Linked DNA regions of Mus musculus: regions 2, 3, 4, 5 and 6 are each reported to be linked to region 1. The links are microRNA targets in miRTarBase. Many come from high-throughput screens and were not tested one by one. Region 1 holds a microRNA gene; each other region holds the end of a gene's coding sequence.

What was found. The annotated mature microRNA mmu-miR-1896 reads CUCUCUGAUGGUGGGUGAGGAG and lies in region 1 at 1,551-1,572, opposite strand. An mRNA with a match to its seed (bases 2 to 7 or 8) in the 3' UTR can be bound and repressed. Matches are read on the target gene's strand: a 7mer-m8 pairs with bases 2 to 8, a 7mer-A1 pairs with bases 2 to 7 and ends in A, and an 8mer does both.
Region 2: the mRNA of Smpd4 is a reported target of mmu-miR-1896. Seed matches in the 3' UTR shown: 7mer-m8 at 1,907-1,913.
Region 3: miRTarBase lists Mettl2 as a target of mmu-miR-1896. Seed matches in the 3' UTR shown: 7mer-A1 at 482-488 and 7mer-A1 at 1,164-1,170.
Region 4: miRTarBase lists Ces1g as a target of mmu-miR-1896. Seed matches in the 3' UTR shown: 7mer-m8 at 3,983-3,989.
Region 5: miRTarBase lists Map3k20 as a target of mmu-miR-1896. The part of its 3' UTR that is shown has no 7-base or 8-base seed match.
Region 6: miRTarBase lists Dph6 as a target of mmu-miR-1896. Seed matches in the 3' UTR shown: 7mer-A1 at 3,166-3,172.

Annotation. Positions count from the first base shown.
Region 1 is chr13:21,441,706-21,446,780 of GRCm38, reverse strand. Mir1896 (microRNA 1896) reads right to left here and starts at 1,621; the gene lies at 1,541-1,621. Zscan26 (zinc finger and SCAN domain containing 26) reads left to right here. Exons shown (of 6, transcript NM_001347491.1): 6 at 952-4,601. The coding sequence ends at 1,850. It overlaps 4930470G03Rik (RIKEN cDNA 4930470G03 gene), which reads right to left. Exons shown (of 4, transcript NR_151504.1): 2 at 5,000-5,075; 3 at 2,588-2,710; 4 at 1-1,859.
Region 2 is chr16:17,642,305-17,647,366 of GRCm38, forward strand. It overlaps Smpd4 (sphingomyelin phosphodiesterase 4), which reads left to right. Exons shown (of 19, transcript NM_001164610.1): 19 at 170-2,526. The coding sequence ends at 499. Ccdc74a (coiled-coil domain containing 74A) reads left to right here and starts at 4,166. Exons shown (of 8, transcript NM_001166164.1): 1 at 4,166-4,479. The coding sequence starts at 4,221.
Region 3 is chr11:105,139,474-105,144,534 of GRCm38, forward strand. Mettl2 (methyltransferase like 2) reads left to right here. Exons shown (of 9, transcript NM_172567.3): 9 at 88-1,673. The coding sequence ends at 296. Among named protein-coding and RNA genes, the nearest start is that of Mettl2, 16 kb to the left of the region's middle.
Region 4 is chr8:93,298,702-93,303,776 of GRCm38, forward strand. It overlaps Ces1g (carboxylesterase 1G), which reads right to left. Exons shown (of 14, transcript NM_021456.4): 14 at 3,668-4,387. The coding sequence ends at 4,204. Among named protein-coding and RNA genes, the nearest start is that of Ces1f, 22 kb to the left of the region's middle.
Region 5 is chr2:72,440,925-72,445,995 of GRCm38, forward strand. Map3k20 (mitogen-activated protein kinase kinase kinase 20) reads left to right here. Exons shown (of 20, transcript NM_023057.5): 20 at 308-1,686. The coding sequence ends at 1,014. Among named protein-coding and RNA genes, the nearest start is that of Gm39847, 21 kb to the right of the region's middle.
Region 6 is chr2:114,513,497-114,518,571 of GRCm38, forward strand. It overlaps Dph6 (diphthamine biosynthesis 6), which reads right to left. Exons shown (of 9, transcript NM_025675.5): 9 at 2,922-4,796. The coding sequence ends at 4,743. Among named protein-coding and RNA genes, the nearest start is that of Gm31146, 86 kb to the left of the region's middle.

The sequences.
Region 1 (5,075 bases):
TTTCTCTCTTTCCATAGTTAAAGAGCCAAGTTTTGTTTTGTGCCCTGAATCTGCTATAGATCCCCTCTGAGGGGAACAAATCATATTTCAACATGATGTTTTTGTGAATGCATTATTCTCAAGGTCTTATGCTCCCGGTACTGTTGATTTATTGTTAAGAACGTAAACACTTTTTCCAAGATTACATACTACTCAGTGATAAAATTGGCACCATGTCAACTCATCTTCATTTGTCAAAGTACCTTCCCTGCTTAACTTGATGGTCCTCGGGTGACCTGATTTATGGTGCTTTTTTGTTTCCCAGGTGACAAATCATGATCAAGAATATGCAGTCATGCTTAGTAGCTTCTGTGTGTGTAACATATGTCACATAATAAAATATAGAACATTTAAAATAAATCACCTCCCACCACAACCCCTGCCCTTCCCCAAAGCCAATCTGGTTAACACTTTCCCAGATGTCAGGCTGGACGTGGTGGTGCTGTAACTGTGGGACCTGAGAGGAGAGGATTAGGTTAGGCCATGTTATTCTGCATAGTGAAAACTTACCTCAAAAAAAACAAACAAAACCACAGTTTCTTGTAAATCACTCTTTATATATATATAAAATAATCATGAGCAAAATTTTGTTGTTGTTTTTTTACTTTGTGAGGATTGAAGCGATCTCATCTCTTAAGAAAACTTTTACAGAGGATCTGGTTTCAGTTCCTGTCAACTACATTGCAGCTCACAACATTCTGTAACTCCAGTTTCCGGGAACTGGACAGCCTCTTACGGTTTCCTTGGCACTGCATGCATGTTGTGTACATGCATACATGCAAATAAAACACACATAACATGTTTTTACATTTATACACATGGCTTTATTTAAGTATTTCCTGCTATTTGCAGATTCCTTTCCCTGAACACCAAAAATAAAATAATTAGTGATATATATATTTACTATTTCAGGTAAAGAGACAAGGAGTGAGAATGGGAATCTCATTGCAGGGACAGACTCTTGTGGAAGAATGGAATCATCTTGTACCATGACTGAACCCATTGAGGCCCAGTGTGAGGACCTGAGCTTGAAAAAGAATCCAGCCATGCCCAAGGAAAAAACTAACAGCCAATGCTTGGAAACTAAGGAGAGACTTGTTCAGAACTCAGGCCTGATTGAACATGACAGGGCACATACAGGAGAAATGTCCTGGGAATCTGTAGGATCTCAGAGTTCTGTTGCTGCTGACCATCAGGAAATCTCTAAAGACAAAGGTCATCCCTGCCAAGAGTGTGGGAAAGTCTTTCAGAGAAGTTCACACCTCATCAGACATCAGAAAATCCATCTTGGGGAGAAGCCTTACCAGTGCAAAGAGTGTGGAAAAGTCTTTAGCCAGAATGCAGGTCTTTTGGAGCATCTCAGGATCCATACTGGAGAAAAACCCTATCTGTGTATCCATTGTGGAAAGAACTTCAGGCGAAGCTCTCATCTTAATCGACACCAAAAAATTCACAGTCAGGATGAGCCCCGAGAATGCAAGGAGTGTGGGAAAACCTTTAGTCGGGCCCTCCTCCTCACCCACCATCAGAGAGTCCATGGTCGTTCCAAAAGACATCACTGTAATGAGTGTGGGAAAGCCTTCAGCTTGACCTCCGACCTTATTCGACATCATAGGATTCACACTGGAGAAAAACCTTTCAAATGTAATGTGTGTCAGAAAGCTTTCCGCCTAAATTCACACTTAGATCAGCATGTTAGAATCCACAATGAAGAAAAACCCTACAAGTGCAGTGAATGCAATGAAGCCTTCAGGCAGAAGTCTGGTCTCTTTCAGCATCAGAGACATCACCATAAAAGCAAACTGGCTTGATGAGGTTCTCTGTTTGAAACATGGAAATGTTACATTGATAAGCAAACAGCGCCTTTTGAAAGAACTCACGACGGCTTCAGGATTCTTGGAAGCCATTTGCCTCCGTTGTGTCCCTCTCTTGGCTTTACTTAAAGTCATAATTAGACTATAATAATTTACCAGAATAGCAGAATCAGAGTTAAACAAATATTCACTACAGAGCTTCTCAGAGCTTTCAGTGTGATAAGTACTTGATTATGTATCTCTTAAGTATTAGCTTTATGTGTGAATGAAGTGTTTGAAATCAGTAAGTCAAGTGCCTATAGATTTATACAGGACAAGATCAAGCTGATATTTTTGTAAGTACTGTAGCAACAGGCTCCTAAAACATAAAATTAATGAGGGTTGGGGATATGCTCAGTGGTTTAACCAAGTTGCTATGCAAGTGGAAGGACTGTTTTGGATCCCCAGCACCCATGTAAAGTCAAATGAGTATGTGGCCAGCCTGTGGCCTGTGGTCCCACCCCTCAGGTGGCAAAAATGGGATCTTTCTAGCAAGCTGGCTAGCCAGACTAGCTGTATCAGCAAACTTTGGACTCAGGGGAGGGAGTTTGGAGAGCAGTCGGTGGAGTTCTTGAGGAAGACTCCTGATGATAATCTAAGTGCACATGTGTCCATACGTATGTAGAGCCATACCTGCAAACATCATACATGTGAAAAGACAAATCCTAAGGAGCTAGAGTTAGCAGTTAACATACCTGCTCTTGCAGAGGACCCATCCATTTTCAGTTCCTAGCACCTCCATAGCACAGCGTCTCACAGTTCCAGTTCTGGGGATCTGCTAGCCTTCTCAGGCTTCTGTACACAGTGGTCCACAGAAACTGGTGGACACACACACACAACTGGTAAAATATTTTTAAGCCCAAAATAAATCTAATAATGCTTAGAAATACACATCCTCAAGGGTCTAACGTAGGTTAACTGAACATTTTCCCTGTTAGGTTCACACAAACACTGGCTTCATATCCACTTTACCTTTGTACCATCAATGAATGCATTTCTGAAAGCTTTTGCTGTTTAACTATAGAACCTACCCTTAGGATTAGCTCATGTCATTTTACATTTCCTGCCCATTTTAACCACAGTATCACAGTGTTTCAAATTATAAATCAAAGTTTTACCTAAACTATGCAAGAGACTTTGAGTCATTTGAGTGAACTGTGTTGAAGTATTCTAAGCAGCGACCTCCTTACTGGGCAGCAACAGTGCCAGTACAGTGACTGCTTGAAGGACACCTTTTTTCATGAATGTCCCATGGGGGGAAATGGGGTTTTCCCCCTTTGATACCAATGATGCAAATTTAAATGCTACTTGTTTTGATATTATTTTGACCATGCAAATCAAATCAGCTCGGAGAGATCATGGCCATCAGGTCATATTGACTGTCTTGCTAGTGATGAAAAGTAATAAGCTTGGAGTCTTCCCAAGCCCAGCACCCGACTGCTAAACATGGCTTATGGTTGGTAATTGCACAGGGTGTACTTCTCAGGGAAAGGGCTTCTTAAGTTATGCCGCTTTGGGAAGAGAAGGGGACCCTTGTACTGACTACAACTTGGTTTCACTACACTTGACTTACAAATAAGCCAAGAACTTAGCAACATAGAAATGCTTATTTTTCTTGTCCGATAGAAAAGGATAGTCAGTCCAAAACAGATCCATGGTAAACCTAGTCAGCTTGCTGCCAGTCATGTCTAAGGAGGGGACAGGCCAAGGACTGCTAGGCACCTAGGTGCAATTCTGACATTAATCTTCTGTTTCATGCCCTTTTTTTTTTTTTTTTTTTTTTTTTTTTTGGTTTTTCGAGACAAGATTTCTCTGTGTAGTCCTGGCTGTCCTGGAACTCACTTTGTAGACCAGGCTGGCCTCGAACTCAGAAATCCGCCTGCCTCTGCCTCCCGAGTGCTGGGATTACAGGCGTGTGCCACCACTCCTGGCTCGTTTCATCCCCTTTTAACCAAACTTTGCTCTGCACAAAATAAGGCCCTCTTCCTTTGTTAAGATTTGACCTAAGATACACTCTAAGCAAAATTGGGGAGAGCTGCACAAAGGGACTGGCTGAACTGAGAAGAACCTCTCTTGGACCTTTTGCCCACACTTTGCATGTGATAGTTGCAACTTCAGCAGTCATATGGCCTTAAAAACTGATGGCATGGACCAAGGTTAGGTCCTCAACACCACCCAAAATAACAGTGTTAGCGTGTGATCAGTCTCCTTCATGTTTAACTCCGATCCACACCAAACGTGCATGTAACAGGCATTGTAACCCTTGTAATTCCTAAGCCTCAGAAGAAACACAGTCTTAGAACATGCTTTACATCTCTACTGTGGAACATCCTTTTATGCATCACTGTTTGTGTGAAAGTGATGTTCCTTTTCTGGCCTTTCTCTTAGCTTCTCCTTTTACTTCCAAACAGCATGGCCCTTAAAAATTAGAGAACTATCAAAATTTTAAATGCACATTATTCTTCGTCAGTTTGTGTGTGTAATATTTACTCAACAAATATATTTAAAGCAACATAAAAACATAATTATTGATAGTGTAAAGAGAATACTTTTCTATGGAAATAATGATATTGACAGTATTGTAAACAGTCTGTAAAGTGTTAATAAAGTTTCAAAGTAATTTTTGAATAAAATTAAAGCTATAAAAAGAAAGTAAAGATTTTTAAATGGTGTTTCCTACAGCATTACTTAATAAAGAATATAACTAAACCTGCATTATTGAGGATAGTTAAGTAAATTATTGTACCCTATACAACGGAATATTGTTGGGATGTTTATGCTTATGGGTCTGGGAGAGGCTCGGTTGGTAAAATGCCTATGACAGTGGTAGGGATGGTAGTATAGAGCTATAATCCCCCTGGGGGTGGGGGATCCCCAGAGCTTGCTGGCAGCCAATGTAGCTGCATCAGTGAGCCCCAAGATTCAGTAAGAGACCTTGTCTAAAAAATAAAGTTGAAGAGTTATAGAGAAAAGCCTCAGGAATCGACCTCTGGCCTCCATACCCACATGCACATGTGGATGTTCATAAACACTCAAAACAACAATATTTTTCAGCTGCTATAGAAAAAGGATTGCTGTCTTAGCCAAATAATAAAGTGCAAACTTACATTTTGATTTCCGTAAGTGCTTCAAAAGCTATTATTCTCGATGAACAAAACGTTCCCAAATGTCCTGAGAATTTAT
Region 2 (5,062 bases), not on the chromosome of region 1:
AGCAGCAGGGACAGCTGGGATGCCCTAGACATAGCTTCCAGAGAGTGCTCCTGCCCTAGGTAGCATCCTGCCCTTCACGGCCCTGCGTGAGAATCACTTGGTCCCAGAGGCATCCTGGAAGGGAGGGTGCTCTGTGTCTCCAACTGCTGAGTCCTTGTTTGTTCTCTAGTTTGCAGGCCAGATGGCAGCTCTGTGCTCCCGGAATGACTTCCTTGGCAGCTTCTGTCGCTACCACCTCACTGAGCCTGCCTTGAGCAACAGACATCTGCTGAGCCCTGTAGGGCGGAGGCAGGTCACCAATCCTGCACGGGGCCCCAGGCTCAGCCTCCGTTTCCTGGGCAGTTACCGGACACTGCTCCTGCTCCTGATGGCCTTCTTTGTGGCTTCTCTGTTCTGCATTGGGCCCCTGTCCTGCTCCTTGCTCCTGGTCCTAGGATACGTCCTCTATGCCATAGCTATGACACTGCTCACTGAACGGGGGAAGCTGCACCAGCTCTGAGCTGCTGGCCATCCTCTCCTGAGCAGACTGTGGCAGGTTGCTTAGAAGCCAGGAATAGAGGGGCAGGTCATCTTCAGTGTTCTTGGGAGTAGTTTCCCTGCAGTGGTGGAGTTATTCAAAAGAACAAAGAGTTGGAAGGGAGAGTGATCCAGGCAGGCCTGACACAGAAGGGTCAGTGTCAGAAGGTTCATAAGCCATTGTGTAAGACAATCAGTGCTGGCCATGGCTCCTCACCTTCAGTCCAAGGGCACACAAGCAGCTCAATATCCACTCCAGGGGAGAAGCAGGGTTCTAAGAGACAGAGCTTGGGGTTGGAGCTTGGTCTGGCCAGCCTCTGTGGACACAAAGCAAAAAAGCATTGGTTTTGCCTGTAAAACTAAGGAATTTAAGGGAGCGTCACATTTGTAACAACACCTGTATGAAAAAAACACCTTCACATCAAAGCTAAGACACCAAAGGGCTCAAGTTCACCCTGCAGGTGAACACCACCATCTCCAAGGTGTTCTTAAACCAGCCCTTTTGTTGTGGGTGTGTAGCTGTTTTTAAAGAAAAAAAAATACCAACCTGTTTTTTTTCAAAGTTATCACTGGGCTTTGTATTTCGATGTAACTTCAGAATACATCATGGGACCCATGACCAAAAGTCAGCTCAAAACATAACTGAACAAGGATCCGAATAAACCATTCTTGCTTCGGAGATTGTCTGGGCTGAATCTTTAGCCTGTTTACCTGCCAAGGGTCCCTGGGCATTTGGGAACTGTGGAGCAAGCTCCTGGACACGGTACCTCCTTACCTCGTGATGGAGTTCTTTCTGACTGAAAGTCCCCTTTCATGCCTAGGGCATGTTGGATTCAACTTCTGCAGAAACAAGACAAGGCAGACTAACCCTGAGGTGGGGGCAGGCCCTGTGGTGCCCTGAGAACTGATTTCCCTGCTTAACACCTCAGAACTGGCTGTCATCCAGAACAAATACCACATTGGCTTCCAGAAACTTCCTTTTTGTTAAACAGTGTCATTTTTATTTTATGTGAGTGAATGTTGCTTGTGTCTGTTCATCATATGTATGCATTTAAGGAGGCCAAGAAGAGGGAGTGGGTGGGTGCTGGAGACCAAACTCCAGGCTTCTGTAGTGCTCTTAATCAACTACTGAGCCATCTCTTCAGCCTCCAGAATCTTAGAGTCATGGGCAGATGGGGCTGACCTATACTAGCCAGCTCCAGGCCAGCATCTTCCCAGGAGTACAACCTCCTTGTGGTGGGAAGGGAAGTTGCCTTTTGAGTGTCCCACTGTTTCCAATTCCCCTGGTCAGAGCTGAATGACTAGCCCTTACCAACAACCCTATCAATATTTATCTTTTGTGTGGGGGATAGAGATAGTTACTCTTGTGTAGCCCAGGCTGGCCTTGAACTCAGAGATACACGTACACTTACCAAGTGTTGGAATCAAAGGCTTGTGCCAACTCTTTACCTAGCCTGTATTTATTTATGAGATGAATATTTTTTTAAATTTTTTTTCTCTTGACAGTTACACACACACACACACACAGGTCATGTCTTACTCCTTCAAGTGCCCCCAGAGTTTAATGTTTTAGACTGACTTATTGGAGTGTGGGGGATGCAGTGCATGCATGCGTGCCATGTATGGACATAGGTCAGAGGTTTGAGGAATGGAACTAGGTTAGGCCTCAAAGCAGGTGTCACCAGTTGTCAGCGTTCAGTTGTCAACTTGATTCACCTGGGAAAGGGACCTTTTCTTGATTGATGTAGCTATCTTCGGGTGGTACCATCCCTAGGCAGGTAGGTCTGGGCTGTATAAGAAAGGTAGCTGAAAGTAAGCTGGGGAGAAAGCCCCAAGCAGTCTCTTGGTTTCTGCTTCAGGCTTCTGCCTTGCCTTGAGTTCCTTCATGGCATCTGTCCATGATAGACTCTAACCTATAAGCTAAAATAAACCCTCTGATGCCCACTTTGCTTTTCTTTTGATCACGGTGTTTATCGCAGCAACAAAAAATAAAATAGGATGCTCAACTAAGCCATCTCCCTGTTTTGGTTTATTTTTAGGATAAGATCTCACTGTGTAGTCTGTAATGAAACTTTGTATCCTAGGCTAGGATTATAGGTATGAGCTTCAAGGATCAGTTTGAAATGATCTTTTTATTATTTGTGTGTGTTTGTTTTGAAGACAGGATTTCACTATGTAGCTCTGCTGACCTGGAACTCTATGTAGATCGGGCTTTTTGCTGTGCAAAGGATGGACCTCTGGGACATGGACATGGTAGACAAGTGTCAAACACTGACCCATTGGGAGGTGACTTTTGCATAGCCTTCTCTTAGAAATTAAGTTTCCAAACCAGGCATTAATCTTAGGATTCAGAAAGGAGGCAGAGGCAGATCTCTGAGTTTGAAGTCAGCCTGGCCTATGTAGCTAAACTATGTCTCAAACAAACAAATCTACCATGTCATAAAAAGTAAGTGGCCTAGTTTTCACGTGGATAAGAGATGAGCCAGCAGTTAAGAAAGAGAGCTTCCTGCTCTTCCAGAAAACCTGAGTTTGGTTTCCAGCAGACACCCAAGGCTGCCTGTAATTCCAGCTCCGGGGCTCAATGCTCACACATGCACACCCACAGAATATACTCATACGGGTACGCATAAATGAAAAAAAAAAAAAAACTAAAGTCTAGAAAGCCAGGACTTTCTTGTTTTTGATCCTGCTGGCTGGGTTCTCTAGGTAAAGGCAAGCACTGGACTTTTGTTTTCTTGAAGACAGGTTCTCACTGTGTAGCTCTGACTGTTCCGGGAACTCACTATGGCAGACTTCGGAACTCTGGAAGATCCACCTGCCTCTGTCTCCCATTTGCTGGAATTAAAGAAGTGGGCTGGCCGGTTCTCTTGTGTTGGTTCAGACAGCTCTATTTATACACAAAGATTCAGTGAGTGTTGGAAGATTTGTGAAACTATTACTATGTATCCAAAAATGTGAGCTATTAAAATGAAAGACTAAGACCCACTTTAAAAGCCAGTGCGACGGGCGGTGGTGGCGCACGCCTTTAATCCCAGCACTGGGGAGGCAGAGGCAGGCGGATTTCTGAGTTCGAGGCCAACCTGGTCTACAAAGTGAGTTCCAGGACAGCCAGGGCTATACAGAGAAACCCTGTCTCGAAAAACAAAAACAAAAAAGCCAGTGCTTTGGCATACATCTATAATCCCGGTTTTACACAATGAATTCCAAGCTAGTTTGCACTACAGAGTGAGACCCTGGTTCAAAAGTACAAGCGGGGCTAGGGTGATGGCTCAGAAGGTATAGTGGTTTCTGCCCAAGCAGGAGAAATTCGGGTCTAAATTCGGGTCCCTAGCACCCACATGAGAAGTGGGGAGGGAAGGCGCACACCCGGGATCTTAAGCGCTGGAAGCCGGGGAAATGGGAAGATCCTGGGGTTCACGGGCCAGCCCAGCTAGTCACAAGACGAGACAGACCTCTTCTCAAAATCTATGAGGTGGGGAATGAGACCGGACGTCGAGTGCTGGTCTCCACAGGCACACGCACCGCACACAGCACTCATAAGAACTACTGTTCCGGACCAGTTCAAGAGTCTGGCGCCTTGGTTTTTGCGGAACGCGGCCGCAGGCCCCGCCCCGCGGCGCGCCCCGCCCTCTCCGGCGCGCCGGTTCCCAAGGCGACCGAGTGCCAGGCTCCAGCAGCCAGTACTGAGCGGCGGCGACGCCTTCATGAGCGGGGCCGGGCTGGCGGCCGGGGCTCGGCCCCTCAGCTCCGCGGCCCCAGGCTCCCGGGGCGCGGCCCGCCTACGCCCGCGCCCTCCCGCCGGCCTGCAGCACGCGGGGACGCAGCCGCCTCCGCTCGGGTTCAGCGAAGCACAGAAGCGGATCCTGGACCTGGAAAAGAGCCTGCAGTTCCTACAGCAGCAGCACTCGGAGACGCTAGTCAAACTCCACGAGGAGATCGAGCACCTGAAGCGGGAGAATAAGGGTGAGCCTCTGGGTGCTGGCCCAGCATTTACAACCTGAAGGTCACGGCCATCAACTCTTAACAGTCTCCGGGTGCGGGGAAGGATGCGGGAGGCTTCTCTTCGGTAGGGCCTGCCGATAGGCTCAGTCCTCCTGTGCCCACCAGCCCAAATGAACGCTGACCCTCCTGTGCACTCTGTGCAGGGCAGGGTGTAGTCCGGCTCATTATTTAAAACTGTTGCCGAAGTTAAACAGCACACAGCAAATTCCAGTAAATGGGTCACCAACTAAGCACATCCAGATTTTGGGCAGGGATTGCCAGGATGCTGCTCCACCCCACCCCCGACCCCCACCCCCAAGGCTTGGCCTACTCAGAACTTCAGGCCACCCTGTGACATAACTGCTTTTCACTGTCTACAGCTCAGCTAGGGTTCCTCTGCTTCCCCCCACTCCATGCCCTGTGCCTCGGGTTTCTCCCTCTTTCTGGTGTTGTCTTTACCTGGGCATCTTATTACATTAGGGCTCTGCTTGAGACTCACCCCATGTCTGACTGACCAGCCCCATGCCACACCCCACTTACCTTACCATTGCCAGGGGCTCCTGGA
Region 3 (5,061 bases), not on the chromosome of region 1:
GTCGAGGCTCCACTTCACATGGAGAGTCGCTAGCAGAGCACCCTCTCTCCAGAGCAGCCTCTGTAACGCTGGCTCTTTTCACACCAGGTGAGCTGGATACGCTCTTCACCGCTGCTGGCCTGGAGAAGGTGCAGAACCTGGTGGATCGCCGCTTGCAGGTGAATCGAGGGAAACAGCTGACCATGTACCGCGTCTGGATTCAGTGCAAATACAGCAAGCCTCTAGCACTCCGCTCCAGCCAACATGTGCCCATTCCCCACGCCACAGAAAGTTCTTCACATTCGGGGCTTTTGTAAGAAGACATCTGTAGACAGCGGCTTGTTGATGATGGACAGTCTGGGGATTCAAGGAGCTCTAACTTTGAGCCTAAGAACAACTACTTTCCGGTTTTTAGCCAGGTGCAATGACACATGCCTTTAAACCCAGCACTCAGGAGGCAGAGGCAGACAGATCTCTGAGTTTGATGACAGCCAGTGATACACAGAGAAATCCTGTCTCCAAAAGCAAACCAAAAAAGTGTGGTTTTATTTCTAAAGCCCATTAATGCGTATTTTCTGGAGTTCGTTTTATTAATATCATTGGTCGAGGCAATGCCCTGGTGAATGTGGGGAGTTCAAAGGGCAACTTGCAGGAGTCAGTTCTCTCCTACAGGCTGGTCCTAGAATTCAGACTCAGGCTTGACAGCAAACACCTTGAGCTTTTTGACTGCCCTCAAATTTTTTAATGACTAGAGTTTTATATAAAACTCATTCTGTGACCAAAAATGACCTTGAAGTTTAGATCCTCTTGCCATCATATTGCAAGATGATGATGGTCCACACCTTTAATCCTAGCACTCAGAAGCCAGAGACAGGCGATCTCTGAGTTCAGGGCCTGCCTAGTCTACAGAGTGAGTTCCAGGACACCCAGGGCTACACAGACAAAAAAAGAAAAATAAGAAAGGAAAAAGAATGCTAACACATTTGAGAGTTAAGAATTTAAAATCCAAGCCTGGCCAAGTGTGGTGGCTCACAGCAGAAATCCCTGCGGGTAAAAAGCTGAGTTAGGCCGGGCGTGGTAGCGCACGCCTTTGATCCCAGCACTCAGGAGGCAGAGGCAGGCAGATTTCTGAGTTCGAGGCCAGCCTGGTCTACAAAGTGAGTTCCAGGACAGCCAGGGCTATACAGAGAAACCCTGTCTCGAAAAACCAAAAAAAAAAAAAAAAAAAAGGCTGAGTCAGCACAGGGATCCCGTTAAGATCAAGGCTAGCCTGGACTGCACTGTAAAACCATCTCACAGATGGTGAATATGGCTCAGTGGCATGAGCCCTGGAGCCAGCCAGGTACGGGGTGTTAGCTTAATCTAAATTGGCATGGGGGGTCTGAGATAGGAGAACTGCCTTCAATTCCAGGCCAGCCCAAGCTACATGGTGAAAGCCTGCCTGGCTTGTTTGATCCTGGGGCAGGATGGAGGTGATGCTGTGCTCCGCTGCAAGGTGCTGGATTATGAGGGCCTTTTACTGTCTCCAGTATTAGCACTAGAACGAAGGCTCAGCAGGTTTAGGCACTTGCTGCCGAGCGTGACAGCCTGAATTCATGTCCCCAAAACCCACATGGTGGAAGGAGAGAGCCATCATGTGCTGTAGCATGTCTGTGTCCTCAGACATACGTACCAAAATAAAATAATTTTCTATATCTTTTTGGTGGTGTGGCTTAATTTAGATGGTGTTTGATAGGTTCCCTCGCTGTCATCTCTAGGGCATGAGAGCACTCTGGCTGTGCCATCTGTCACCCTATTGACCACCAGGATTTATTGGTTTGCTCTGGTCAGCTAAGCAGGTGTCCCCTTTCACCTTCACCATCAAAGAGCTGGTCTTCTGTCCCCTACTGAAACCTCCACACAAGCTCAGTTATCAACTGTTGTGTAGGAGAGTTCCTTGACACATGATCCCTGCCACACATTTCCCATGGTCTCTGTCCAAAGGGTTTTAGCTGAATCATTCTAATAGCTGCACGTGGCTCTACAATTAAACCTGACGCGGCTGAGTTTCCTGAAAACAGTTGGGTTGGGAAGGTGGCTCCAGCTGCGAAGCTGCCTAGAAAGATTTGCTTAGGTGTATCTAACAGAAATGCTTCAGGATAGCGGGGCATGGTGGTGCACGCCTTTAATTCCAGCACTCGGGAGGCAGAGGCAGGCGGATTTCTGAGTTCGAGGCCAGCCTGGTCTACAAAGTGAGTTCCAGGACAGCCAGGGCTACACAGAGAAACCCTGTCTCAAAAAAAAAAACAAAAAAAAGAAATGCTTCATGAAAAGACTTATCTTCCTACGTCAAGTGCCAGCCATTCAGCTGGAGAGAGAAAGTCAATATTCTTTGAAAACTGAAGGATGGTTTGATGTGGGGCAAGTACAGAGAGCTGTTGGGGTGAAAGGCATGCCAGGTCAGGGTGTAACTCAAGTCCTTGCCAGTGTGGATTCTGTGGTGCAAAGGTGATTCGTCCTGAGCCTGACCTCTCTCGGTCCCTGTATGGGGGAGGGGGGGTGTCTCCTGTCTTCCTTCTTGCTCTCTTTTACTCTTGACTGGAAAAGTGGGACCCTGGAAATTTAACAAGAGGAAAGCTTAGTTCACGAGACATTTAATGTTCCTATAATTTGATTCCTGTCCTTGGAGACATTGGCAACAGTCAGGGCTTCTCTGGAGTAAAGACGAGCACGGGGCAGTTTCTTTCATGCTGTTGACAAAGGCCTGTTTTTTCATTGGTGGCTATAGCTGCTACGTCCAGAGGTCCAGAGCCCGGCTGCATCAGGGCATCACAGGTCTCCGCTGCTTCATTTGATCTTCAGGTTGTGATTTGACAAACTTGGTGATGAGCTTCCCAGTTGAGATGGTGATGTGGTACCCTGCTGCCTCTGCAGTGAGCAGTCAGCCAAGGTTCACAACTCAGAGGTCTGCTGGCTCTAATCAGTGGGCCATGTAGACAATTAAACATGACTGAGTTTAGGGGCAGAAGGCCACATATGGTTACTTGTTCCACAGAGGGGTTTTAAGGCACAGTAGCCAGAATATTCATCCTGAGATGAACCCAGATCCATCATTCCCCAGTTTCCTTTCCATGAGATAGGATTTCACCATTAAAATAGAAAATATCTGGTTACTTGTAGTGCCACACACCTTAATCTCAGTGATCAGAAGGCAGACAGACATCTAGATCCCTGCGAATTTGAGGCTTGCCTGGTCTACATAGAGAGTTCCATTCTAGCCAGGGCTACACAGAAAGACTCAAAAAGTTTAAAAAGATTCATATATATATATATGTTGTGTCCGGCCAGCAGATCACAGGCCTGGGTTCTAGCCTGGAAAGGCATTTTAAAAACCTGGAAGAGAAGAAGGACTAGGCAGGCGAGAAAAAGATGCAGCTAAGACAGTCATTCTGATCAAAGCTCAATTTTACTATTCTGCATGCAGTTATGAAGCAGGGGAAGGGGGCCCGATTCCTGCCAAATAATCTTGGAGTCCAGTAGCAGGGTGACCACATGATGGCTTCGGAACAGGAAAACGGCCCGGCCGGCTCCAGCGGCAAGCTCTACCCCTGAGCAAGCAGGTTTCAGGCTGGGGGAGGGGAGACTACATATATATATATATAGAGAGAGAGAGAGACAGAAAGATAGACAAACAGACACACACCTTCCGGGCCACTTGGGTCAGCGGGTAAAGGCTCTTTTTGTCTTGCTGCCAAGCCTGTCAACCTGCATACCTAAGTCTGGTCACCAGAACTGATGCGGTGGCAGAAGAAACCCATCCTCTGACTGCATCTGTTTTTAGCAAGTTTTGTTTTTTGTATGAGTGCACTGTCGCTGTCTTCAGACACACCAGAAGAGGGCATCGGATCCCATTACAGATGGCTGTGAGCCACCAAGCGGTTGCTGGGAACTGAACTCAGAACCTCTAAAAGAGCAGCCAGTGCTCTTAACCACTGAGCCATCTCCCCAGCCCCAACCTTAGCATGTTTTAGTAGAGTATCACCCAAGAGAATAATAGTTGTCAGATTCCCATTGGCCCAACCCAGAATGCTGGGTTGTTAGTTCAGCTGGAGACTGTTAACCCTAGAAACAACACAGCTTGGAAGAATGGGTTATTAATCTGGGATATGGGAGTGACAGTGGAAGGGAGCTCCCTGAGAAGAGATGCTGCCAAACTTACACCAGAAGTTGATGGTTAGCACATCAGGGCATTGGGTGGGGACAAAGGTTTGTCAAGCTAAGGCTGATCCCAAATCTCTTATCCAAATAAGCAGAGCCCTTGCTGAACAATCTAAATGTGCTAACATTTCTTGGAATATTTGCTATCCTTACACACACACACACAGTCTTGTACAAACTAGGCAAATGCTATACCATTGAACCTATGTCCCTAACCTTGACTTTAAGACTGAAATGTAGAGCCAGGCATGGTGGCTTTATTCCAGCACTCAGGAAGCAGAGGCTAGCAGATACATTTGAGTTTGAGGCCAACCTGGTCTACATCATTCCAGGACAGCCAGAGCTAACTACAAGGTCCTGTTTCAAATAAAAAGACTGAAATTTATGGTGGCACATACCTTTAATTTCAGCACTCAGAAGGCAGAGGCAGGAGGATGTCTATGAGTTCAAAGCCAGCCTGGTCTACAAAGGAAATTCCAGGACAGCCAGGGCTACATAGATCCTGTCCCCTAAAACAAACATTTGAAAAAGTCTTTTTAAGAGACTAAAATGCCTTTCAGGCGGGTGTGACACTGCCTACTGTAGTCCGAGAACTCAAGGTGCTGAGGATGGAGAACTGGAGGGCAGCCTGGGTTATAGTGATAGCCTGGGATGTGTGGTGAGGTGGAGAGGGAGGGTGCTCTTCCTGTCTCTGTCAGGGATGTAGGTCAGTGACAGCTCTTGGCTAGCACGTATGACCCCTGGGTTTGATCTCTTAGGCACACATCCCCAAAGGTTGTTTGTTTGTTTGTTTGTTTGTTTGTTTTTCAAGACAGAGTTTCTCTGTAGCTCTAGCTGTCCTAGAACTCACTCTGTAGACCATGTTGACCTCAAAGTCACAGAGAT
Region 4 (5,075 bases), not on the chromosome of region 1:
ATATCTTGTTTTTGGACCTCCTCCTGGCCGAAGAAGAAGGCCCAAAACAAGGCCTTTCTCAGAAGCTGTGTTGCTTTGGCAGTTCCCAGAAGCTGTCAGCTTCTGTGGTGCAGACACTCACCTGTGCAGACTAAATTCCTAAGTTCCAGGGAGTCCTGGAATCAAGATGGCGACCGCTGCTGCTGAGGCTGAGTCTGCCTCCCAAGCCAGGCGGACACCTGTCCTCTGGTCCGGACGGTGGCCGGCTGTCTGCGGCCCACCAAGGGTGCTGCCTCAGCGGCTCTGTGCTTCTGCCTGTCCCAGAAGCTGTCCGGTTCTCTGGCGCACCCTCTCACCAGTTCAGACTAATTTCCTAAGTTCTGCTGAGTCCCGGAACCAAGATGGCGACCGCTGCTGCTGAGGCTGAGGCCGCCTCCCAAGCCAGGCGGACACCTGTCCTCTGGTCCGGACGGTGGCTGGCTGTCTGCGGCCCGCCAAGGGTGCTGCCTCCAACCTGTATATTTCTTTCTGCATGTTATTGCCATTTAGACAATACAAATTCTCCCTATTCATGAACATGGGAGTTCTTTGCATTTTCTAGTGTCTCCTTAAATTTCCTTCTTGAGTTTATGATTTTCTCTGTTAGACTCAGGGATTTCAGGTTGTTCTCATTTCACACCTGGTCTTCTTCTCACGGATAGATTCTTTCAGTCTTAAGATGATTCTCTGGTGTGCGTGGTCAGGGTTGTGTATTTTATGCCCCTTGAGATGGCCAGGTGTATGCGTGAAGAGAGCAGTTCTTCCAATGGGTCTCATCGATGTATAAAAGATTCTGCCAGTTGGTCTTGAGACAAGATTGACTCCAGGGAGACTGATTTTTTCCATGTCAGACGACATCCTCTGAAGCTCAAGGAGATGTCGACAGTGATCAGGACCCTTGTTGGCTAACTGCCTGTCACAATGATGGACAAGGTAGGGAGTTTTTATTCTACTAAATGACTATCAGTGATTCAGTGTCTATACTGGATGATTATTTAGGGATATATTATTTTTAACATGGCATTATTTTGTCTGTTATAATTTTGTTTGTTTATACAGTTTTAGAAAAGTGGCACATTTTCAATGCCAGCCTTCAAATTATTGTAATTAATACATCTCTTCCATTTATGGGAATAGTATTAAAGCTCCTTATTGAAGTAACATATTACAGGAAAAAGATTCAATAAACTGACAGAACTCTAATGCTGTAGATGGTATGTCCATGGGAGTCAACCTTTAAATAAAAACATGGAGGGAGAGAGATACTTTATTTGGGAGTAAACATAGGACATTGGGGTGCAGGATAAGATGCCATGGAGATTGCTGGAGGCTACTGGTTAAAGGAAACTTAAAGGCAAAACCATCAGGATTGTTCTTAAAATGCTATTTTGAAACACCATTCATTGACTACAAGGATCAGTTACATTGGTTCAAGTCTGAAAAGATGCTGCCAGACTGGAATCCTCCCAGAATATGCTAATTGCATGTTACAATGGCACTTGTAGAAGGATGTGATTTTGACAGACTCCTTTGTAATGTTGATTCCCTTCTTATAACTCTCTTGACATTACTTTTTGCTTCAAATGGACTCAAGTGACTTAATTTGGGTTCTGGTAGCTTTCACAGTGGCCAAAATGTGACAGTATGAGACAAGTGAAGATTCCAGAAACAGGGCAATGTAGTCTACACTGGTGATGTATAGTGGCAAGCCCTGGAAAGGGGATGTATGAGGTAGAACTTTCCCAAAAGCCCCGTCCTCATACCGTCTTTTCAAAAAAAGTCTGCAAAGCCAGGTGGTAGAATCTGAGTCTCTTGACTTCTCAGGTTAGTGTTCTCCACATGGCCCAACCCTGTCATAAATACAGCTAAGTGTAGCATGCAATGGGACATGGCTTACCCATATCTCAGGCCTGTCATCACGTGCACTCCACTAAAGTGTTGGATAAATTGATGAGTGTAGCGAGGCTTGTGGAGTTACTCTGAAGGCATCTGGCAGAGGATGGCCAAATTTTAAACTTACTTAAAGCATTATGAGATTTTTAGTGCTTTCTTTCTTTTTTCCTTTGTTGTTTGGTTTTTGGTAACCTGATTGTCTAGTACTAGAGAGTGAACTCCGTAAATAATGCCATGTTTTAAAAGTAAAACTTTGGAAATACCTAAGAGGCTAGTTTTATTTTATTTGGGCAAAGAAGTTGTCTACACTGTGTTCCCAGTCTGAGATTTTGCCTGTGACTGAGATTAAAGGGGGCTTAAGTAAGCTGGTAGTGGAAACTTCTCACTGAACAGCATTCAAGTGGACCTTGGTTTTTGGTAGGAGCTGTTAGCTCTGCTTACAGTGAGAGACAGCAGCAAAATGTAATAAAGAAACATGCAGGTTGATAGCAGAAGTCCATTTGATGTTGGGAACAAGATAATTATGGGAGATGACAAGATTAAAGACTTAATTAGTCACAAATTTTCATCTGTAGGAGAAAGAAGCCTCATGGGCATTGCAGGAATTGTTCAGATCCCATGTATAGCCCTCAAGAATCTAACATGTTTCCTTGAGAATAGAATTTTCATAGTTCCTGTCTTGCAAGCCATGAGAGAGGGAGAGGGTGTGTTTCCCTGCCTGCTGACCTAAGCACTAAGGAGCTTCTACAGCTAGGCTCTAAGGGCCTCTCTGCTCTACCGTCTGGGGACAGCCATTGGCATCATCCATGATGCTGGGTCTTCAGGCACACAGAATGCAAATTATTGGCTCATGGAATCCTTGGCATGGATTTCAAAGGAAAAGCAGACAATGTATGCCATGTCAGAATAACCACAGACTGTGGAACCACTCACATCCTTATGTCCATGTGTCCACACATGTGGAACCTACAGATGTCCTCTGTAGAACAGCTGCAGTAAGAGCAGAGCCAGCTCAGAGAGATCATATGCACCACAACCTTCAGGTCTATAGAGGAGGAGATTGTAGCCTGTTGGTGCTATTTTCTGAATAGAATGTGCCATGCCATAAGACATATAAGTCTGTGAATATAAAGGGTCTAGTAATTTGCCCTGCTGTCTTTCAGTCTTCCTTTGCCTCCATTACTACTTTATGGGCCCCAAATCTGTCATGGGACCCAGGAAAAAGTAGCAAAAAACCATCTCCCCTCTGCCACAGTGTGCTTGGGAGAGCATAGACATTGGGTCAGTCAATCATCTATCCACCTCCTGTGGAGGTGGCATCTCATGATGTTGAATCTCTCTCCATGCTCCCTTCTCTAATGTATAAATGAATTATTCTTAATATAAATGTAAGCAGTGAATTAAGCCAGCGGCTATATTTCTTTATGTTAATCCCCAATAATCACACTGGTAAACCAATATTTATTTAAAAGTTTGCCTCAATAGCTGAGTAATTTAATGATCTACCTTTACTTTCTATGCTAATCCAGCTGCCTCTCACCCGGTTGATACTTGCATATTATTATTGATGTGGCTGCTCAGATCCCTTCTTGGTGGCTCTAATTTCTCCATCCTGCCCCTGATATATGAATCTCCCCCTCCTCTCCTCTTCCTCCTCCTCCTCCTCTCCCCTCTCCTTTTCTCATTGGCAGATGTCCTGCCCTATTCCCTATTCTGCTCAGCCACTGGTCAGCATTTATTGACAAGGCAGTGAATAAGTGGCAAGAAATGTTTACACAGATGTGAGACAGGAGATACTTTATATAAGCATTACAATGCCATGTTCAGAATGAAACAAGACACAAAAGAAGAGAAATGAGCATTTGAATAACACAAGGGTAAACTTTATACAGTGTACAAAAACATTATTAGTACACTAATGTATATAGATCCATTTTGAGCCAAAGACAGAGACTCTGGTTTGATTTCTAAGGGAATGTATTTGTGATGTCATTAAAAATTGAAAGCATATGGCCAGTCAGTTGTGTCACATGTCTTTAATCCCAGAACTTGGGAGGCAGAGGCAGGTGGGTCTCTGATTTCAATCCTAGCCTGGTCTACAGAGTGAGTTCCAGGAAAGCCAGGACTACACAGGTAACCAAATAACAAAAACCAAAAATTTGAAAGCATAAAATCAAATGTTTCTCCCTATTGTGTCCCACTGGTGTCAGACGATTGATTTTGGAAACAATATCTGACAAAAAGTCACCCTTTTCTTAGCTCCAGACTCTCAAACATGACTGGGCCTCCTGATCACAGTTCAACATGTTCCCTATGGGATGACCTCTCTGCTGTTTCCTTGGCTCTGAGCTCAGTCCAAAAGTCCACTTCCTTGTCTTTCAGCCTATGGGCTGCCTGTGCTGGGACTCCAATCTGAAGGTATCCTTCCTTCTGGTCATATTCTGGCCAATGAGGCAGCCCTTCACCATTAGGGTTCCTGTAAACAGAATAAAAAGAAATTCACCAAGATGTACAAAGATGCCCAGGCTTATCTCTGCCAAGAAGCCTGTAACCTTCCACAGATCAAATGGACAGGTGTCTAAATCCTGGCACACGGGTTTGTTTCTTTCTTTCTTTCTTCCTTCCTTTCTTTCTTTCTTTCTTTCTTTCTTTCTTTCTTTCTTTCTTTCTTTCTTTCTTTCTTTTTTAAGTTTGTTATGATATACATCTTGCATTCTCTGCAAATCCTCACGTGTTACAGGCTGGTATTGAGCTAGAAGCTAGTGGAATAAAGGGTGGAGTGTAGTTAGAAGAAGCAAATGCTGGCGACCTTGAGTAGTGCTGGGGGTCCCACTCCTTCCTGTCATAGCTTCCTGACTGCATGCTGCTCTGCCTCATCACAAGCCTCAAATTAAAAGTCCAAGTGAAACTCAGAGCTAGAATACAACCTTCATTTAAGTGAGTGGACTTTGGGCATTTTGTCAGTCTTTGAAAGCTAACATCTAAAATTGCTTCTGAGAAAGGGGTCACTCTATGGTTAAGCTGGTATTGTAGTTTGTAATAATTTTTAATTGGTTTGTGAAGGAAATTGGAAGTTTGGAGAGCATGCTGCTGCAAACTTAGAATAGGTGAGTAGGATATTCTAGATTCTAGTGGGTTCTAAAATGAAAGAAGTCAATGAAGCC
Region 5 (5,071 bases), not on the chromosome of region 1:
AGATAATGCTGTGATACTATACTGTTCCATGTATGTGAAGTTTCTAATACAGTCAGACCATGGCTGCAAAAAAAAAAAAAAAAAAAAAATGCTAACCATATTACATCCTTAATGACAATGTACCTTTCCCACTAGGGGTTCGTGGTAGTAAAGAAAAAGGTCCCCGTGTACCTACCTAGAACTTCCATGAATGGCAATGCTTGGCACGCCCCCAAGCAGCCTTGAGATTGATTGCCTGAGCCAGGCTTATGAATTAGGCATGCAGCTTTGTGGCATGAAAGATGCTCATTTCCATTTTCCCCTGCAGGTGCGGACTGCCAATGGTTAGACACTCTGCGCATGCGGCAGATTGCATCCCACACTTCTCTACAGCGTTCCCAAAGCAACCCTATCTTGGGGTCTCCTTTCTTCCCTTACTTTGCCAACCAGGATTCCTATGCTGCTGCGGTGAGGAGGACCCAGACTCCGGTGAAGTACCAGCAGATTACACCAAGCATCAACCCTTCCCGGAGCTCCTCCCCCACGCAGTATGGGCTGTCCAGAAACTTCTCCTCCCTGAACCTCAGCTCCAGGGACAGCGGCTTCTCCAGCCTCAATGACAGCTCCTCCGAGAGGGGCCGCTACTCAGACCGAAGCAGAAACAAGTACTACCGTGGTAGTGTGTCCCTCAATTCTTCCCCGAAAGGAAGATATGGTGGGAAAAGTCAGCATTCCACACCTTCAAGAGAAAGATATTCTGGAAAGTTCTACAGGCTGCCCCAGTCAGCGCTGAACACTCATCAGTCCCCTGACTTCAAGAGGAGCCCAAATGACCATGACCGCCGTGTGCCCAGGACCATACCCGGGATGCCTCTGCACCCTGAGACTGCCTCCAAAGCAGGGGAAGAGGAGAGCAGGGTGAGCGAAGGGGGCTGGACTAAAGTGGAATATCGGAAGAAGACACACAGGCAACTTTCGGCCAAGACTAGCAAGGAGAGAACCCGTGGCAACTACCGTGGGCGGCGGAATTTTTGAGGGATTGGGTCAGATGCGCTTTTCCAAGCGGGTTAGTAGTGCTTTGTGCAATGGATTTTTGGTAATAAGGTATCTTGAGGTTATAGGGACCAAAAAAAGACTAGTTCTGGGCTTGGGAAACACCTTTTAACTGAAAGGACAACCAAAGCAGGGCCTCAATTATGGCTGTTAGTCAGTCAACTAGAGGTGGCAATTAAACTTGACAATAACTGCCAATGTTTTGTCCCCTGAATTACTATTGAGGTGGGGAGGGCTATGACATTGCCTGCTGGGAACATTCGAGCAGGCTTGGGGCCAGGATAAAGCTAGTGAGAACCACAGAAAAATCATATTTCTGGACAAAACAGGATTCATCTTATCTTCTCTTTCATCTAAGTTCCAAGATGGCTCTGCAAAGCACTGTGGACGATTCTTGAGTTAAAATTTGTTTTTTGATTTTGGGGTTTTGTTTTTTTTTTTTTAACCTACTGGGATAAAATATCATTTATCTTGATTGCTGAGGGATTTTTTTAAAATGCCTCCCTAAATGTTGTGCCCAAGGCAAGTGCCTCACTCATCTCCACTGTGTTAGTATTTATTTTAGTGAGATATTTGTGTTTTCTGCCATGGTCAGTATTGAACTGATTTGGCTTGTCATTTTTAGGTAATAAAAAAAAAGATTATTGAAGTTAATGTTGATTGTATGGTGGCTATTTCATTCATTAAGGTTCAACAGACAAAAGATCTAAATGGCCTGGAGGTTTGTGGCTGGTTCCTTTTCTGAGTCCCCAGGATGCTTTCCACCATCACAACAGAGAGAGCAGAGAGGTGGGTGGGGAGACAGTTCACACCGCATCCTTGGGATGTCAGAACTCTACAAGAAAACAGACGGAGCAGGGTAGCACCATCTCAAGCTAAAAGCCGGAGAAATTAAATTACCATCAGCCTTGTTAGAGCAAGGCAGTAAATACCAGCAAGCCAGTGTGCCGCCGCTGGGAGAGAAGAGGGGGCTGCTTGTAGCCTAGAGCAGGAAGCTCATGGCACGCAAGGATATGAAGCATTGTGAAATACTTCCTATTTTGCAAGTCAGAGAGTCAGGTGGCAACAAACCTGTTACACATCAGACAGATATTACACATCACACATTACTCTCAGTATGCTGAGAACCTGTTCCGCATCCACTAATACTAAGCACTGTGTGCCATTTGATCTGTCTGCTGGGATCATCAAGGATTTTTGTAGCCTTAAAGTCAAGATGGTAGGAAATGACTTCCTTTACAAGGGAAACTTGTCATGACCTAAACGTTGACTCGACAACTTGATTTTATTTACCATTTGCACTTATGAACAAGCAAAGCAATGGGGATGTAAATCAAGATGAGCTTGGTGGGTATGAGGTACCCATTTTCATCATGGCTAACCAACTTAGAAAGCTCCTGGGTCTTTGTCTTCTCCGCTGGAATCTGTTTCCAGGCATCCCCCTTCCCTTTGGCTTTTCTTCCATGTTAAACAGTAGCAAGCAAACAGAAAGGTCTGTGCAAAGTTTGCCGTCTTGCTCTGCTGTTTCCAAAGAGGCAACACGTTCTTTGAGAATGTTTGGATCAATGACAGTCTTGAGTCAGTCACTCTGAAGGGAATGCAGAGGACGGTGTGAGCCAGAACAATAGAGGCACGGCTTCAGGTTGAAAGGTGTTGGTGCAGATGAACGTTGTGTCATGATCCTTGCCACCATCTTGCTTTTGTGGATCCCTGAGTTAGATAATCCAAACTGGCATTCAAGCGACTGACTGCCTGTGGTCTCAGCCTTCTTTTGTACAGTGATTGGTCACTAAAAAAGTTGCTGCAACAGCCCACCAAACTGACCACTTTGTAAAGTCTCGTGGAAAAGTACTTGTCAGCATTGATGCTTCCAGTCAAAATCAAAACAAGAACAGCTGCAGTCTGGTTTTGGGTTGTAAAGAAGTAATAAGAATTGGCCGTGCTTTTTTGCTTGTTTCTTCTCTCTCTCTCTCTCTCTCTCACTCTCTCTCTCTCTCTCTCAACAATACTTAGTCATCAGACATTTGTAAGGTTTTAGCAAGACATGCTCCAGCAAAATAGCCAAATGCCAAAACAGAAATTAAAAACATAGCAGCCTCGGGTTTAGTTATCTACTTAGCACACATAAGGCTTTGGGTTCAATTCTCAACCCCAGAAGACAAAGTAAATAATTTTCAGGAAGTATATTAGTTGTAAGAGGACGGGGATAAGACTGACAGAGAGAAAAAGAGGAAATTTTTAGGTAAGACTGTAAGGGTGTGGCTCACTAGCAGGGCACAGGACATATGTGCATGAATGCACCCACAAGTGAGCGGAATTGTTAACAATTGCTTTCATCTGGTTTTTCCATGAATATAGCTTTAGAGAGAAAAATTAAACTACAATATACTTAAAATGATTGACAGTGAAACTGAGGTCAGTAGAATGTGCCTGGAACTCTCTTCCTTGGGCCTTCTCCAGTGTAGCGGTACCAAAGCAGTGCATAAGCTTCCTGAGACTTTTCTCTGCAATAGATACTACCTGAGTGTGCTGGCTGGTTTTGTGTGTTATCACAGAAAGGAGCCTCCCTTGAGGAAATGCCTCCATGAGATCAGCTGTAAGGCATTTTCTCAATTAGTGATCAAGGGGGGAGGGCCCATTGTGGGTGGTGCCATCCCTGGGCTGGCAGTCTTGGGTTCTATAAGAAAGCAAGCTGAGCAAGCCAGGGGAAGCAAGCCAGTAACATCTCTCCACGGCCTCTGCATCAGCTCCTACTTCCTGTCCCTGTGTGAGTTTTAGTCCTGACTTCCTTTAGTGATGAACAGCAATGTGGAAGTGTAAGGTGAATAAACCCTTTCCTCCCCAACTTACTTCTTGGTCATGATGTTTGTGCAGGGATAGAAACCCTGACTAGGACACTGAGCCAGCTGGAACAGATGTGGGACCCTTCTGAGAGAAGCTAGGAACATCCTGCAAAAGCTAGCTTATAGTGATAACAAGTTGTGGTTGGGCAAAATAGAAGCTGAACTATGAATGAAAAGAAATTCTATGATACATAAAATATTCCTTGTAAACTTTAAATGATATATTAAGCCCATAGGAGAGACTACTTTGGAACTTACTAGAAAAGAGCCACAGGAAGGGCCCAGTGGATAAGGCATTTTGCTGCTGAAGCCTAAGCAGCAGCATTTAGATCCCTAGAACCCATACCAAAAGCCAGTTATGACAGCACTGTCAACTTGGTGTTCCTAGTTGAAGTGGAAAGCAGAGAGTGGCCCAGAAGCTGGAGAGCTGGCCAGCCTAGAAGCAAAGGGAAGCAAAGAAACGAGAGAGACTTGTCTTCAAAATAAGGTGGCAGGTGAGGACTGACACTTAAATGTTGTCCTCTGACCTCCACACTCAGACCATGTGTCCTAGTTAGGGTTTCCATTGCTGTGAAGAGACACCAGGACCAAGGCAACTCTTAAAAAGGACACTTCATTGGGGCTGGTTTACAGCTTCAGAGGTTCAGCCCATTATCATCATGGCAGGAAGTAAGGCAGCATCCAAGCAGGGATGGTGTTGGAGGAGCTGAAAGTTCTACAGCAAGTCAAACAGAAGACTGGCTGTCACATGGCTAGAGGGAGGGTTTCAAAGCCCACCCCCACAGTGACATACTTCCTTCAACAAGGCCATACCTACTCCAACAAGGCCACACCTCCGGATAGTGCCACTCTCTAAGCCAAACACATACAAACCACCATACTGGGCCTTGTTGGTTTTTTCTTTTTAAGATTTATTTATTTTTATTTTATACATATGGATGTTTTGCTGTCACTCAAATACACACAGTCAGACAGACACACACCATACGCACCATACACACACACACATACATGATTAATATAAAAATGGTAAATGTTACATACATAGAAAATTAATTAGCTAAAAAAATTTTACTCTGTGTTTGTATTGCCAAAAATCACTTCTCAATACTTATATAGCTGGTCTAATTGTTTATCTATAAATACAGAATCAAAATATCCTGGGGTCTTCTGAGAGTGGTCAAAATATCCAGTAG
Region 6 (5,075 bases), not on the chromosome of region 1:
AAATTCCATTGCATGACATACACAAGAGGCCTGCTGTCTTCAGATGTCTGTCATCTTTTCTATGTGATAGTTTCTCCCCAGAAGTTTCTCCTTACACTCTACTTCAGATTCAGTGAGATTTCAACTCTAGTGGGGACTGTTTTCACTTGAGTTCTGGTTAAAGTTTAAAGGACTCTTTAGAATAGTACTAAGTGTGTATTAAAAAGTAGAACATACTATACTACTATATTCCCAGGTAATTTCCTTAATTACTTTTAATTTAAAATAAGTCTTTTAAATGAGTTAAAATTATGATAATTTGATGAATTCAACTCCTTTTTCTCTTCCTAAAAAATCCAATATAAATCTGGCAATGATATGCTTGGGGTATTATCTTCATTCATACGTGCACTAATAACTCTGCTCCAATTGTTATTCAGACAGAAAATAGGTCCATAATTTAGATGTTACTCTTCATCTTGAAACACAGTATACCAAGGCCACGTTAGTTCAGATTAGTAAAACTAGTAGTGCCTTCCACTGTAATGAGCAGTGGGTACAATAATTACAGACAGTAACGTCAACAGAATGGTAAGCTACAATTATTTTGTAATTGGACAGTAATCATCAGATAGACAAAATAATTTTGCAAAGCAATGTAGTCATAGATGTACATTAAGAAAAATTAGAACAGAGGAGGTTTAATGTTATTTTTGAGATATTTGAGGATATGGCTGATCTAATGCCAAACATTAAAACAAACAAAGAAAACCAGGCTGAGACTGAAGATGTTTTTAAAAGTTACAAATTGTTGGAACAGGAGTCCTTATGTATGTATGTATGTATGTATGTATGTATGTATGTACACACACACACACACACACATACACACACACACACACACAAAACAAACCATTTCCATGAGAGCTTTTCAGCAAAAGACAAAGCTAAGCATTAAGCAACAACATATACATTAGTACTAAAAGGACTTTTCAAAGGAAGGAAAATTAAGGATGAACTGGTATTGGGAGAAAGTATTGAAATTGAGATTAAATTTCTGCAAGCAGTTAAAATTCTATCCATTAAAGTGTATGAGTATTTTCCTTGATTGCATGTCTTTATACCAGGTATGTGCACAGTGCTAGTGGAGGCCAGAAGAAGGCATCATATCATCTGGAACTGAAATTACCAATGGTTGTGAGCTGACATGTGAGTGCTGGAAATGAACCCGAGTCTTCTGGAAGAGGAGTGCTTTTTAACTGCTAAACCATTTCTCCAGCTTCCAATGCTTTTTTTTTGTTTAAAGTACAATTTTTTTCCAAAACATTAATTTGAATACTGTTTTCCACAAAGCTGAAATGGGTGAGGTGGGTGTTTGAATAGTTATTCTGTTAAATTTTAGGCACTCTGATGTGATCTTTTTGTTGATTTATGTAAGGCTTTGTACTTTTCATTTTCTCAACCTTGTCATTGTGTGATGTATGGTACATTTTAGCATCAAATTTTCCATAAGCAATAAAGACTGAGACCCAAAGAAAGATTAATATTGATTTTCTGAATTTTAACCCAGGCCTTCCATTATTCAGTTACATTGTTTGGGACTTCAGATCTAATTGGTATACTTTTAATACTTAAATCAGTAACTTATTATATAAAAACATAAAATTTAAGTAAATTATTTAAAGTTATCATTTTATAAGTTGAGTGTCTAAATGATATATTGAAAATGTCCACTACCAATCTCTATATTTTGTATTTTGCACTCCAGTTTTCTTACACACTTTTGTCCAATAATAACATAAGAAAGAGATGTAAACTCGTTTATAATATGTAATGGAAAAAACATCTCTAAAACTCTTCATGAAGAAGAAAGTGAAGTTTGAAAAATGATAGTTCATTAGAAAAGTTATTTTTAAAGTTTTAGCTGGTATTTTTAGATCTCCTAGATGTCTCAGATGACAAGAAAATGAAAAAGGACTGGCTCACAAAAATCTGCAAAGCAGTAGAAATGATAAATGCCTAAACAACTGAATAACGTTACAACAGAAAACAAAGTCAGCATTGAGGCAATTTAACTTGTATGGTTAAATGTAAGTATTTGAATTCAACACTGGCCCATTGGTGTGGTGCCAACAGTTTACAAAGGTCAGGGGAGGTAGAAAGTTGTGGCACAACATAGGAGCATCAATTTTTTCTAAGCAAGGATGCTCATATGGTTCCCGGAGACCAAGTGTAATGAAAGATCTTAGAGCATTACGACATGTGCTTCTGGTATCCGGTTATAGATAATGATCTTATTAATGTAGATAACATTGTATGATTTCATGCAGGGATCCAGACACTATAAAGCTTTGGTTCTCAACTTGTAGGCCTTGACCCCTTTGGGGTTCTAATTATCCTTTCACAGGATATGCCTTAGTCCATCAGAAAAAACAGATATTTACATTATGATTCCAAACAGTAGCAAAAGTTATAAGGCAGCAACAAAAACAATTCTATGGTTGGAGGTCACCACAACATTTAGAATTAACTGTATTAAAGGTTGCAGTGTTAGGCAGGTTGAAAACCACTCCTATAAATGGAAAATGAAGGAGCTTGGGCAGATACAACTTTAAAAGGGGTGATGGACAGGACTATGAGATACGTAAGAGATATATGGAAGTGAAATAGAAAGGAGATCGTTGCTCCTTACTGTGGATACAATGGGATTAGCTGCTTGAGTGTCAGCTCATTTGCCTTTAATGATAGATGCTAGTCCAGAACTGTAAGCCAAACAACCCTTCCTCCACTAGGTTGTTTTTTTTGTTTGTTTGTTTGTTTATTCCTTTTTTGTTTTTGTTAGAATATATATCATAGCAATGCAAATAAACCTAGCACACTGATGATAGCATATTTATGCTCTTTGGTAGTCATACAAAGGAACTGACATTCACACAAAACTTGTACATGAATGTTGATAGCAGCTTTATTCATACTTGCCAAAAAGTAGAAACAGCCATAACAAGAAGTGAGGGAATCGAAACACATATTAGTAAGTGAAGGATTGCTACCACACAATATTCTGAAGAATGCAAAACTAGAGAGCAGAGAGATAGTAGTTGTCAGGAGTCAGAGCAGACCGAGGATGGATAGGTGGAGCACGCATGATTCTTTTTTTTTTTTTTTTTTGGTTTTTCGAGACAGGGTTTCTCTGTATAGCCCTGGCTGTCCTGGAACGCACTCAGTAGACCAGGCTGGCCTCGAACTCAGAAATCCACCTGCCTCTGCCTCCCAAGTGCTGGGATTAAAGGTGTACACCACTGCCTGGCTACGCATGATTCTTAAGACAGTAAAACTATTGTGTTATAGGAGTGTAATGATGCATATATGTCTTTGAACATTTGTTAAATCCCGTGGAATGTAAAACCACAATTGTGAGATCTTATATAAACTATGACTTTTTTGTTTTGAGCCAAGGTAATCTAGGCCACCCCTCATAACACTGCTCCTGCCTCAATCTCTCAAGTTCTGGAATTATAGGGGAGCCACCACTTCTGGTTAAAGGCGGACCTTTGATAAGGATCTACCAATGTGAGTCTATCAGTTACAAAATACCTCTCTCTGGAGTAGTACACTGATATAAGGCAGACAGTGCTCCAATGGAACAAAACACATACATGGGCACTTTGTGCTTTTCCATTCAGTTTTGAAGTGAACATAAAATTATTCTAGTCTTTTTAATATATAAGTTATACATAAGTGATATTTAAAAATTCTTTAAAACCAATCATAACATACTCAGCTATTTATGATAATATTTCTGATTATCCAATGCTGTTGAATGTTTCAAACAATGAATATATAAAAAACAAAAAGGGTCAATCGCTGCACTGACACCTGATTACAACGAGCTTGATTGTCTAGATCAGAGTCTTCTTTTTCTGATGCCTCTTTTCGTGACATGGGATGTGGAAGAGAGGGAAGAAAAGAGTCAGACAAGGAAACGTTAGACAGAGAGCTGGAGCGAAATCAAAGGGCAATACAGGGGCATGTGACACAAAGGCCACGAGACTCGAGACTCCTTACAACATGAAAGTAAAGTGGAGATAGAGGATGGTGAGAGTCAGAGGATCAGGGAGTTTGCTTCTTTCAGGAGTCTCCGGAGCTGCACCCATGAAGTCTCATCAACATGGCTCCTGAAACATGGTCTGAACAAGGAGGGTATTGACAGACATGCTAAAGTAGATGAGGAAGTTCATGAGGGAAGAGCACACCAACTGGTTATCCAATAGCAAATGGTCAACCCTGAAAACACAATACAGGCCATGCAATACAGTCTGGGCAGGCTGTATTTATGTATTTAGGAATGTGTGTGTGTGTGTGTCTAGAGAAAGAGGAGGGCACAGACAGAAAGACATATATACATGCACACACAAATGCGCACAGAAATGCGCGTGCGCGCGCACACACACACAGAGAGAAAAAGAGAGAAAGAGACGTATAACAACACTAATGAAAACTGTGTCCATAAATTGGAAAAGGAGTGTGTGTGGGGGTGCGTATATTGTAGGGTTTTGAGGAAAGTACGGGTGGTATAATAGTAATCTAATAGGAATTTAAAAAATAAATTATTTTTTTTAAAGAAAGTAAGTTGAAGAAATATCAGAGAAGAGTTCACTGAAATTCTTCCAGTTATTCAATGGTCCCAATATATTTTTTTAAAGAAGTAAAGAAAAAATGTAGTAAGAAATGTGTCATAATAATTTTAAAATGCAGCATAAATGTTAAGAGCTGTGTATAGAGTTAGCTGTTTCATCATCCGCAGGTACTGACGACACCTACAAGGAAACAAAGGAAAGTGAGACATATTTGTTAATGTCAGTAATACTCTATCATAAAGAAACAGTAGTTACCTATGGTGGGCTAATGTGAAATAGCAAGAGAAGCCCAGGGAGCTACTTGCGTGAGGCTGCATTTGGAATGGAGGAATGAATCAGCAAGAGATTCGTGCACTAGTTTCTTAGCTGTGCTCCTGGCACCAAAAGGAGAAAGGAGCCGAGGGTTAAGGTGAGGCTCCATTCTCAAGTTTTAGAAGGTGTGTAGATGGGATAATGCCA